Ovis aries: one gene and its partners. The protein of the gene in region 2 binds, or shares a complex with, the protein of the main gene of each other region. Links are inferred from orthologs where the notes say so. Each region holds a gene or a part of one and is shown on either strand. Other genes may lie near its edges. The genes, in order: NUP133, NUP107 and CETN3.

Region 1 (3,652 bases), on a different chromosome or scaffold from region 2:
CCTCCACTGAGTCAGCAGAGACGACAGCATGGAACACAACCAGCAGCAGGGCAGGCAGCTCTCAGGAGCTCCAGCTATTCGAGCAGAACAGATGATCCCTAACAAGGGCAGACAGCTAATGGGACACTCAGTGGAAGGCCGAAAACTGCCAACACTTCTGAAACGAATTAGCACTGCCAGACAGAACAAAGCGATTCAATAAGGCGGAATAATATAAGATTAGGGTTAGACACATCAGAACAGACAGCAAGGGTGCTTATTATTCTATAACAAACACCAATCTGTTTTTCCAAACAACTACCTATGCTCTGCATGACAAATGAGTTGCTTACCAGTTTTGCTTCAAATCCAAATACCGAATGTTGACCCCTTCTTTAATAGCTTCATAGTTACTTTCAGATCCCTACATGAAAATATCAACAATGTAAGCTCCTTCAGTATAGAAATCATTTCTTTTCACCTTTATATCCCCAGCACCTACTAAACTGCCTCATCCACAGTAAGTCAAACTTATTGAATGAATAATGTATGCATTTAAAAAATTAAGTAAACCAGTGAGTCCCAATACTTCTAAAGATTGAATACTCTGCTTATCTGATGACTGAAATGCGTTCTACTAAAAGAACTAGCAATTTTATATAAATAAAAATGACAGAGATGAATGTTACTGTTCCTTACCCAGATAGCATCAATAATGTTTTCCTTCAGGACTCTATTTATATCCCAACTATGTGCTTGTTTTTCTGAAGAATCATCTAATTCCCATTTACTGATGTTTGAACTTGTCAGGCTATAAAAGCTCGCTCGCTCTCTATCCCAGAGGACGCTTGAAAGCTGTATGGAGAGGAGAAAAAAAGTTTATAGATTATTAAATTCTAGTGTCAGTGATGATTTTCCTGAAATTAAAAATTCATATATTTTATAGCTATTTGATTAGTAATCCTAGCAGAATTCTTCATTTAGGATTCAGGGGAAGAAGTGATCCTGAAATAGACCTTGAGAGTAAGGAGGATTTTCACAGGCAGAAGGCCCAGGAAGAGCAGAGTAGGGAGGCAGGAAAGTCAGAGGCTCTTTAAAGAACAAAACACAGTCCTGCTAAACTAGAATGTGGATTATAGCTAGGAAAGAAGCAAAACTGAAGCTCACACACAGCATAGTCTTGAATGTCAGTTTGTAAACCAAGTAAGCTAAGGAGATAATATCCATAGCTTGTGAGCACAAGAGATTTGTTACAGGAGAAGGAATCTGGAGGGGTGTGTGTAGTTCCACACGTTTATATCACTTCATCTCCCTTGCTTCTGAAGAACACATCTAACCCAACTTAAAAATTGCGTATATGTGACTGCTGAACTAAAACCCTATTTGTCTCCACTTTTCCTGTCACTATGTCTCAAATCTAGAGAAGCTGGTAAATATTCTGCCCCATAAAGAGAGGGAGACACACATACACACACAACCAGGATTTTATACCTGGGTCTCTGAAAAAGGTGACAGTGCCATTAGAAATAGGTCAAAAGAAAAATGAGTTTTGTAAGTCAATAGGAGAGAAGAGAACACGAGCAATTTTCTTCTAGACATGTTAAAGCTTACGTTCAAAGACCATTTAAGGAAGCAGATAATGACAGCAACCTGAAATCAGAGGGAAGAGCCCCACTTCATAAAGGATGTGGTACTGCAGTACTTAGCAGGGCTAATGCAAAGGGACCTGCTGCATGGCACAGGGAGCTCTGCTCAGTGTTACATGGCAGCCTGGGTGCACGGGGAGTCTGGGGGAGGATGGCTACCCGTGTATGTATGGCTGAGCCCCTTTACTGTCCACCTGAAACTGCCACAGCATTGCTACTCAGCTATACGCCTATAAAATAAAATGTTTCAGAAAAGTCGGGGGCGGGGGAAGGTGCTCTCAGTTCACACACATGTGGGCATGCATCTGTCGCTGAGCAGTTTTGAACTTTGGGCAATTTTGGTAGCCTCACTGAGGCCATTTCCCCATTTATTTAACACAAATGGGACATGAAGCTCTATATATTACGGATCACAATTATTACAGGAGATAACACACACAGGGCTCCTGGCAGAGCAGATGCCCCACTGCTCTGTTAGTGCAGTTAGTTGAAGATGTTAGTTCCCAGCATCTTCACTCACTACTCCAGAGTCTGAGCCACAGCCCAGCAGACATCATCCACACAGACAGCTGGAGGCTCGGGGGTGGAAAGCACACTTTTGGTTACGTCTAGAAAGCAAAACTAATCCTTGAACACATTTATAACTTTACATCATAGTTTTAACTCAAAAAATGAGCTTACCAGATAATCTATAAAACTTAAGAATAATTAATGTTACAGAGGATGCAAGAGGGTTAGTATGAACTCATCTAATCATCATAATAAAAATGCCTCACTGAAAGATCAAAGTTTTCATCTCACATACACCACTGTACATACAGTGGCAACGCTAACTTCATAGGAGACTGCCAACTTACTGATTTCATTAAGAAACAAGCTAGTAAAACAGTCATTTCACCAACTTACAATGAGATCACTACTAGGAGATAAGATTCCCAGAAGAGAAGAAACCTTCCGACCAATTCCTGAGAGCACGCCTTGTCCTTGAGGCAGGACATGCTGATGGATTTTTCCTATACTTTCAGGTATCAGGCGGATTAGTTGGCCCCCCGATGAGGATAAAATAAAACTTCCTCCCTGTGAACAAATGTGAAATTAGTTAAGTATTTAAGACTAAGAAAAGAAAATGAACACAAATCACTTTGATATGCTTCGAGGGAAATTATCTGTACCTCAACATAAATCTAAAGAATAAAAAAAGAACAGTGCTATTTTTAAAAAATAATTTATGAATCCATTCACTTAATACTACACAGAAAAACTTCAGAGCCATTTTTTTAATTACTTTTTTTAAATTCTGATTTTTAAGTTATAGGTTCACATTACATAGGTTCAACAAATTAAGAATCAGATTTTATTTCTTTGGTAAACCAGCAGAATATGCATTAGCAAACCAGTCTTCCTCTAAGAGTTTCTGAATCACTCTCTAAAGATGTTTCTGACAGAAACGAATACCACTGGCTACTATGCTCCACTGACAGGTCAGAGTCCCACGAGAAGGGCTTCCCTCGGCCTAAGTGCTCAAATCCTAGACTCTTACATTCTTTCCTTGCCTCCTTTTTGATCTTCTCCCAGCCCTACCTGTATGATCTGCTCGAAATCACAAATTTTTAGTCAGCCAAACCTGAATTCCAAGCCAAATGACAGTTTCCCAATAAATATAGAAGAATATCCATCGTATACCTGTACTGCTGTTAGGAAACTATAGGTCTTATCACCTCCCAGATCTACGAACGTCTCTGTGTAGGTATCTTCACTCGCAAGGCTTGGCCAATAGCGGATGGATCCTTCTCTGGTGGCAACCATGACAGTAACAGCCTGAAACAAGATCATAACACTCAGCAAACACAAGAAAAGGAGCCCAAAGCGGCGGTCTGACGACACTGACATACAGAAACCAGGGCAATGCATTACTCATGAACAGAAATCAGGGGGAAAATTCTTTTTTTCCATATTTAAAGAATCATCATACAGTAAAACTGACATTTTCTCCTCCTGTTTAATAATTCTATGAACTTTTATACTCT
Region 2 (3,652 bases):
CTAATATAGTCACACTGCAGTTAATGACTTCAGAAAATTTAACAGTGATATAATACCAACATCAATGACTCAACACTGTCCTTTATAGCATCTTTTTTTCTCCAACACAGGATCCAGTTTAGAATCACATATTGTATTTAATTGTCATATCTTTTGGGGACTCATTAAAAGGTTTTTTTGTTTTGTTTTAATACAACCTTTAAAGGTTATAATCCATTTAGCTATTACAAAATACTGGCTTTACTCCCCATGTTGTACAATATGTCCTCATAGCCTACTTTACACCCAGTGATTTGTACCTCCCACCCCACAACCCCTATGTTGCTCCTCCTTCCCTCTCCCCACTGCTAGCCACTAGGGGAATCAACCCAGTATTTTTTAAAAAGTTCTCCAGGTCATTTAAATGGGCAGTTCAGAGGTGAGAGTCCCTGCTTTATGTATGTCTTACTCACTCTACTAGACTTATCTTCACCTCTACAGACTGAGTTGAATACATGAATAATTGATTTTTGGTCCAGAATTTTTAAAAATTAGATTTTACTATACTATACTGACTGAACATATTAAATGTGGAGAAATAGTTTACCCAGGAGTCAGACATTCATATATTCCCTAACTAGTATTCCAGGTTAGACTTAAATTATGGGATGTTCAGTTATAATATAGTACAAAGGTAATACAAGATCTGTAACTGCTCCTATTCAGAGAAAAAACTTAAAAAAAAAAGATGTAGCTTGTAACAATGCACAGAGCTTACCTCTCTAACATCCACCATCCACCCTCCATCAACAAACAACAAGACATTGTACATTTTTTCCTTCACATCAGCAGTTAGGGCATCCAAATGCCCTTTCCAAATACCATAATCCATCTGGAAAACAGATATAAGGCAGATATATAGTGGACTATAATATATTTGCAAAGTACAGAGATGTACATATATGGAACATCATTCTAAAGAACTGACATTCAGTAAGCCAAATACAAAATAAACATCAACAGACTGCAGTTCAATAAAACACTAAAATGTTTACCATGTAAATGAACATTATTGTCACTTGAAGGTACGTTTCATGTTTGGTTAATTATCTACAAAAAGGTAACTAAACAGATTTCTTTCTTCAAAGTATAACAGTAATAAGGAAGATCAACTCTTATAATGGGAATATAACTGTTGAAGAAATGATCTTACATATATGACTTGTATTTCTGAGATGCAATGAGACATGTCTCATCTACATTTAACTTACCTCATATTTCTTTTCTTTGTGTTCATGAGCCACTTTCTCAGTAAAAGTTGCTTGAGTTGTCAAAGTAGGTTTTTGTGGAGCTGAATTCATATGCTTAAACCACTCATTAAAGGTTTCATGGGCTTCCTAAAATGTAAAGTAAAATAGAAAAATACAAAAAATGAAAACTTTTCACATATGTTCAATACAATTTTTAAAAATTTGGTTCTTAGAATTTTGCAGTAGTAAGAAATAAAATTGTTCAATATTTCTTTTTTATACAAAAAAATTACAGTGAATAAGTATTTTGTTTGTGATATTCACGTGCTTATCTGTGTCCTTGATGAACCTATTAGCTTCCAGAGGGAAGCAAAGAAATTCAGACTCAGTCCTAAAACCTAGCTAATCACTTTATTATTTGTTGAATGAATTCTGAATGAGTATGTTGTTATTTTAGTCATAATATAGATTATCTTGCTTTTTTCAGTTGTTGCCAAAAGCAGAAATGCTAAAGTTAAGAATTCAAAGAATCTTAAGAAAACACATGGTGTGTTGGTTAACAATGATTAGAGGCTCCTGCACATGAAGACAAGGTCAGGACTTCCAAGTTTTTAGGGATCAGTGATTCCCACAGTCACAAGGGAGGTAAGATAGTAAGTCAATCACCACTTTTCAAAAAAGTAGTTTAAGGTTTGAGAGTGAATCAGGTTTGAAAGTCATCATAAAGACAGGCACTTCGTGGTTTTCTCTACAATCTCACCAAGTAAGCTCTGATGCACAAATGTTCTCGGATAGCGTTATCATCTTCAGCAGGAAGTGGGCTATCCATTCCTTGTTCCTCCCACTGGTTATAGATTTCTGCTATTGAATCCTGAGGAATTTTCACAAATACTTCTTTTGCAGCTTCGTGCTTTTTTGAGGCTGGGAAAAAGACATATAGTTTTTCAATATACGTGGATTTCTGTGTAGTGGCTTCTAAAGGAGTCAAATTATTAGTCTACAACTTTCACCGTGGCCTGTAACCATTCAGGGCCCAAGGTACTTCTTTTAAAGGTTTGGGGGATCTTTCTACCTAATGGCTGGGCTTTTCCTTATTTCAGTGTGACAGTCACATGAAGGATTAATTAAATGTAGTTACTTTTGTTTTCATTATATATTTCAATTTTTGGCTGCCCTGCATAGCATGCCAAATCTTACTTCCCCAACCAGGGACTGAATCCAAATCCACTGCAATGGAACACGGAGTCTTAAACACTGGATCACCAGGAAATCCCACAGCTACTTTCACATACTATGTCTTAAAAAAAAATTCCATTTTTCAAAACCTTGAGATTATATATAAAATTGAGTGGGACATAGTAAGTCACTATTAAATATGTTTTGTTTCACAATATCAGCCATAAAAGTGGGTATTTTGTACCTTACCCTACTGGAAGGGTTAGAAAAACAACAAAATTTAAGAACAGAAAAAAAAAAACTTTGTAAAAATAATATAAAATAGAGCATACCCAAGAATTTCCTCATTATCGCATTGCCTTGTTTTAGTGCTTCTGCTCTCTGTGCTGGGTCGAATACCAACCAGTCAATTACATCAATTTTTAATCGGTCTTCCTATTCATTTAATTGGAAAAAAAGAAATGTCAATTGTGCTTTTTCCCTAAGATATTCTACACATTAATAGAACTGGCTTACATCTGTACTACTAATGATTATTTTCCTTCAGGTTACACAAAATTATGAAAGAAAATAGCTTTTCTTGGTTTATTTTCACATTTAATAGCTCTATATCTGATGTGCCACCAATTTAATTATCTGATTCCTTTAAGTGCTATTCTACAACCTTTTCTTTCCTAGATAAAACTTTCTATTCTTTTCTGAAAATAAGGAACAATTAAACTACATAAAAATTAGTTAACTGATCAAGTATCTAGAATAATCAGATGAGTAAAAATTCAATGCTCAGGTTTTTACTATTAAAGAAGCTTCCTTTAACATAAAACTACTACTAAGCAATTCCTTACACAAGACTTAAGTTTGCTGACAATTTTTATAACTTGGCTGACAAAGAAAAACTCTTTAAAAAATAAAGAAGCCAGAGTATTTTAAAGTAGACATTTAGAAAAAGCATAACACGAGGGATTATTCAGTCACATAATACACCTCTTGTACCCTCATATTACCTCGGTAGTACCCGTATCCAAGGCTGGGGACAGGTCATGATGACTGAATTCACCATCATCTTTCTTTCGAATATTCTCAACTACAGTTTTTGTTATAGCTGCAATATCCAAATCTAAAACATTTTTTGAAGGGACAGAAACAAGAAATTACTCATTCACACTAATATTCTTTAAATAATCACAATGATTTAGTAAATCTGGGATAACAATTCTTTAAAATATGAAAGAAATTATAAAAGAAAA
Region 3 (3,752 bases), on a different chromosome or scaffold from region 2:
CATCCAGACCAGTGTTTCTCATGATGTACTCTGCATATAAGTTAAATAAGTCAGGTGACAATATACAGCCTTGACGTACTCCTTTCCTGATTTGGTACCAGTCTGTTGCTTCTTGACCTGCATACAGATTTCTCAGGAGGCAGGTTAGGTGGTCTGGTATTTCCATCTCTTTCAGAATTTTCTACAGTTTGTTGTGATCTGAAAGTCAAAGGCTTTGGCATAGTCAATAAAGTGGAAGTGGATGTTTTTACCATCTTTACTTACCCAAATTTAGCTCATCCTTCTAGGCTTAACATATATGCCATCTCCTTCAAGAAGTCTTTCTTATACCTTCTGTGTTCTCTCTCTTCTCTAAACGTGTACATGTATCTCTTTATATTTATGCCACAGTTTTATATATCAATATCTTCCCTCTTCTGTTACTGGACACCTACTCTCTGGCTATTTCATTCCTTTTTGAGATTTGCAGTTTAGCTCAGTACTTTGCGATTTTTCACAGCAAGATTCCATTTAATGCAACAAATATCTACGGAGCAGAGGCATCAGACATTTACAACGAATCATACATTGTTTTAGGCACTAGGAATAGTGTTAAATGAAGGATATAAGCCTTTTAAGATTAGTAGGAGAGATGAACAGTAAAGATATTAAATGTCCAAGTGAGCTTTAAGAGACTTCGTTTGGTGGTGAAGATAACATCATGAGTATAAGCAGCTTACAGCACTCGAAAATAAAGGACAAAAACGAACAAACCAGTTCAAAGGAGGAATAGGGGAGCAAATGGCCCTTAGGTACAGCTTCAACCTTAAATAGCCTAATAATCCAACTCAGTGATTATCAAAATATAATCCGCAGTATCTGCTTCAGAATCATTTGAAGTTTGTATAAAAAAATGCAGATTCACACCTACTAGAAATTAGAATGAGTGATATTTAAATCTGCGTTTTAAACACACTCCCCATGTACTCAAACCATCCAAAAATGTACAATACAGTAGAGTCAAGTTTCGCAGACACAGTTCGAAAGCCGCTCCCTCCTTCTAGCCGGAGGAGAGCCTGCGGCGTATCTCATCCCTTCCCTTTCCACCGGGTCTCCGGACACTGGGCCACATGCCACAGCCTTTCTGGTCAGAAGCATAGCTCGCCACCTCCCACCTGAGTCCTAGCTTCTCTAGGATTGGGGTGGGGCGTGGGGGTGGGGCGGAAAGCAACAGGCCAATCTACAGGGGGAGAGGCGTAGCAGGGGATGCCGGCAGGGAGATCTATTTGATTGACGTGAAATAAGACCAATGAGAGCAGAGGACAAGTGACGCTTTCGCCTCAATGGGCAGGACGTTAGCGATTTCAACCAATCCAGCTCAGGAGTGTCTTGCTTTGTGGGAGGTTTTTGAGACCGCTGAGGGTCGTTGGCGTCTGTCGAACGGCTTGTGGAAGTCTTGCTGCTCTGGGTAGGGGGTTAAAATCGTTCTCGAGAGGAACGCCTCAGTCCGAAGAGAAAATGAGTTTAGCTCTGAGGTCGGTAATGAGGAGACGGCAGATGCACTCCACACCTCGCAGCGGGCCCCAGGGCGGTTGTGTGTGGAAGGGAAACAGCTGGGGGCCGAAGCGAGGAAGGGAATGCAGTTTGGGACGAGGGACGGGATCCTTGGTCAACGTTCCCGGGCCCAGACCCCTCCCCTTGGGGGCCCTGGTGAGCTCTGCACTTTAGCTGAGGCGGTCATTTCTGTCAGGGCACTGGCTTTAGACCGCCAAAAAGCCGGGCTGAGGTAGTCTTGAGGAGGCAGGGAAATATCGCGAGGTTTCAATGCGCGGTGTTTATGCGAGAAACCGGGAAACCAGGCCTTGGAGCATCCCTTGGTTCAGTGCCTTGTCCACGGCTTCCATCTCGGCCGACTTTCTGCTAACATGCGTGCTCAGTCGTTTCAGTCGTGTCAGACTCTTTGTGACCCTATGGGCTGTAGCCCGCCAGGCTCCTCTGGGTGTGGGTTTCTCCAGGCAAGAGTACTGGAGAGGATTGCCCTGCCTTCCTCCAGGTGATCTTGCAAACCTGCGTCTCCTGCATTGCAGGTATATTCTTTACCCACTGAGCCACCTGGGAAGCCCCCTACTAACATATTTACCCGTAAATTTTGGAAACAACGCAAAACCTCTCCTCTTTCTCCTGGGGCCCTGCAAAAGGGTATAATCAGAGGCCCCTTTTAGTGATTTTAGTTGGTAATCTCTTAGCTTTCCTAAATTTTCTGATTTTACTTTTCATTCATTTCCAACCTCTAACCCACTGTTTGTTGCTCCCTCTCCCAACCACAACTAAAAGTTTTACCTTAAAAGTGTTTATGTAGTTACGCTTCAGTAAAAAGGAAGCGAGTTCTGACGAGGAAATGAGGTCTACTGTCGGTGGGTTGTGAACTTTGGTCTGGTCGGAATCTTGGGAAGAGAATAACCCCCGGAGTTTCCAAGTTTTTGTGAATTCAGGTCTCTTGTGAAAGAAAGAGCTTTATCATAACCTCATTTGGTCATTTTCTAGTCATCTCTTGCCTTTTTAGAGTAGATTTCACAGAATTAAAGAAAAGTCAACTGGTTTTTACATTTTTAAAGTTTATAGAATTCTTGTTTCAAAGCTTGTACAAGTGTTGTAAGCCCCATATGAAAATTTGAAATGCTTATATTGGCACCTCTTAAGGAATACATTTCTAGTTTTTAGAGTAAATTACGTTTTGTACTTTAAGTTTTTTCAGAGTTTGTGACAAACTGTCTAGATGTACATGCTGAGATTTATGAGACAGTTGACTCTTCACCTTATATATAAATAAAATACCACAAATATTAAGTACTTTTTTGGTGTTTGATATTCGTGGTATGCTTACGTTCATTATTTTGGCTGATTTGTTAATATCAATGGGAGAAATTACAAAAAAGTGCCAGTTTAAAATGTGTAGTCTAAAAATACTAGTCTAAACTGTGCCAAAATAGTTTGTAAATTAATTGATGAATTAGATTTTTTGGCAATAATTTTGATAATTCTAAGCACTATGAAAGTAAACCTAATATATAGAGATCAACAATTGTGAATTGAATTCTTATTTTTTAAAACAGTCTGTATTGTAGAATGATGAGAATAAGTATGGGTGTTTGTTTTTTGTTGGGGTTTCTGACAGAACTGTTTCTTTTTCACAGTTCTTGTTTCTTCCACAGTAATATTAGTGGGAATGAATACAAAGCTAGGAAGAGGAAAAGCTAGGTCCTCATTTCTTTTAATAACCTTTTAAAACTGTAAAACTTTTCAGTTTTAGGGAGGTACAAATTTAAAGCAGCTTAGACAATGGATTGAGCAGGGCTTTGATTCATGTAAGGAAATTTTTTATAAAATACTTTTTAGAAGTTTAAAACATTCATTGGCTAATTTTTTTGTTGCATTTTTGGAATTTTATCATTTAGAAGCATATGACAATAGGATTAAAGTGGACTAAATAGACTTTTTTCTTATCATTCCATAGAAATGACCTTGTAGTAGACAAAACAAAGAGGAAAAAAAGAAGAGAACTCTCTGAAGAACAGAAACAAGAAATTAAAGATGCTTTTGAACTATTTGACACAGACAAAGATGAAGCAATAGATTATCATGAATTAAAGGTAATACACTTAAAATATATCTTTTCTATTAAAACATTTTGCATTTTTGTCCACTGATTAAAAATGCATTTCTAAATATTTTAATTGAACTGGTTTTGGAAATGTAAACCATTTTAAACATTT

Evidence for each region.
Region 1: the proteins of NUP107 (region 2) and NUP133 are in contact, whole or in part, in a crystal structure (PDB 3CQG), measured with the Homo sapiens proteins. The link is inferred for Ovis aries from reciprocal best matches to the Homo sapiens genes NUP107 and NUP133. Residues at the interface, in NP_065134.1 of Homo sapiens: Leu875, Gln876, Ala878, Asp879, Val881, Ser882, Ser883, Glu884, Tyr889, Lys894, Leu897, Arg898, Leu900, Leu901, Gln902, Arg905, Ser908, Leu909, Leu912, Asp917, Pro918, Leu919, Tyr921; in NP_060700.2 of Homo sapiens: Trp937, Leu938, Ile941, Asn942, Gln944, Leu946, Tyr963, Ala965, Lys966, Lys968, Thr969, Leu970, Gly972, Leu973, Lys975, Leu976, Ala977, Leu979, Ala980, Ser981, Asp982, Ile992, Glu999.
Region 3: NUP107 (region 2) and CETN3 share a complex: the UniProt entries of both Homo sapiens proteins name them as parts of the nuclear pore complex. The link is inferred for Ovis aries from reciprocal best matches to the Homo sapiens genes NUP107 and CETN3.

What each region holds. Positions count from the first base shown.
Region 1 is NC_056078.1:1,013,947-1,017,598, forward strand, and holds part of NUP133 (nuclear pore complex protein Nup133), read right to left. Parts: intron 3,444-3,652; coding exon 3,309-3,443; intron 2,703-3,308; coding exon 2,532-2,702; intron 835-2,531; coding exon 679-834; intron 404-678; coding exon 333-403; intron 1-332. UniProt on the Homo sapiens protein: Involved in poly(A)+ RNA transport. Involved in nephrogenesis.
Region 2 is NC_056056.1:151,262,316-151,265,967, forward strand, and holds part of NUP107 (nuclear pore complex protein Nup107), read right to left. Parts: intron 3,523-3,652; coding exon 3,410-3,522; intron 2,841-3,409; coding exon 2,738-2,840; intron 2,151-2,737; coding exon 1,990-2,150; intron 1,377-1,989; coding exon 1,251-1,376; intron 872-1,250; coding exon 758-871; intron 1-757. UniProt on the Homo sapiens protein: Plays a role in the nuclear pore complex (NPC) assembly and/or maintenance. Required for the assembly of peripheral proteins into the NPC. May anchor NUP62 to the NPC. Involved in nephrogenesis.
Region 3 is NC_056058.1:87,600,250-87,604,001, reverse strand, and holds the start of CETN3 (centrin-3), read left to right. Parts: upstream 1-1,370; 5' UTR 1,371-1,497; coding exon 1,498-1,514; intron 1,515-3,493; coding exon 3,494-3,629; intron 3,630-3,752. UniProt on the Homo sapiens protein: Plays a fundamental role in microtubule-organizing center structure and function. As a component of the TREX-2 complex, involved in the export of mRNAs to the cytoplasm through the nuclear pores.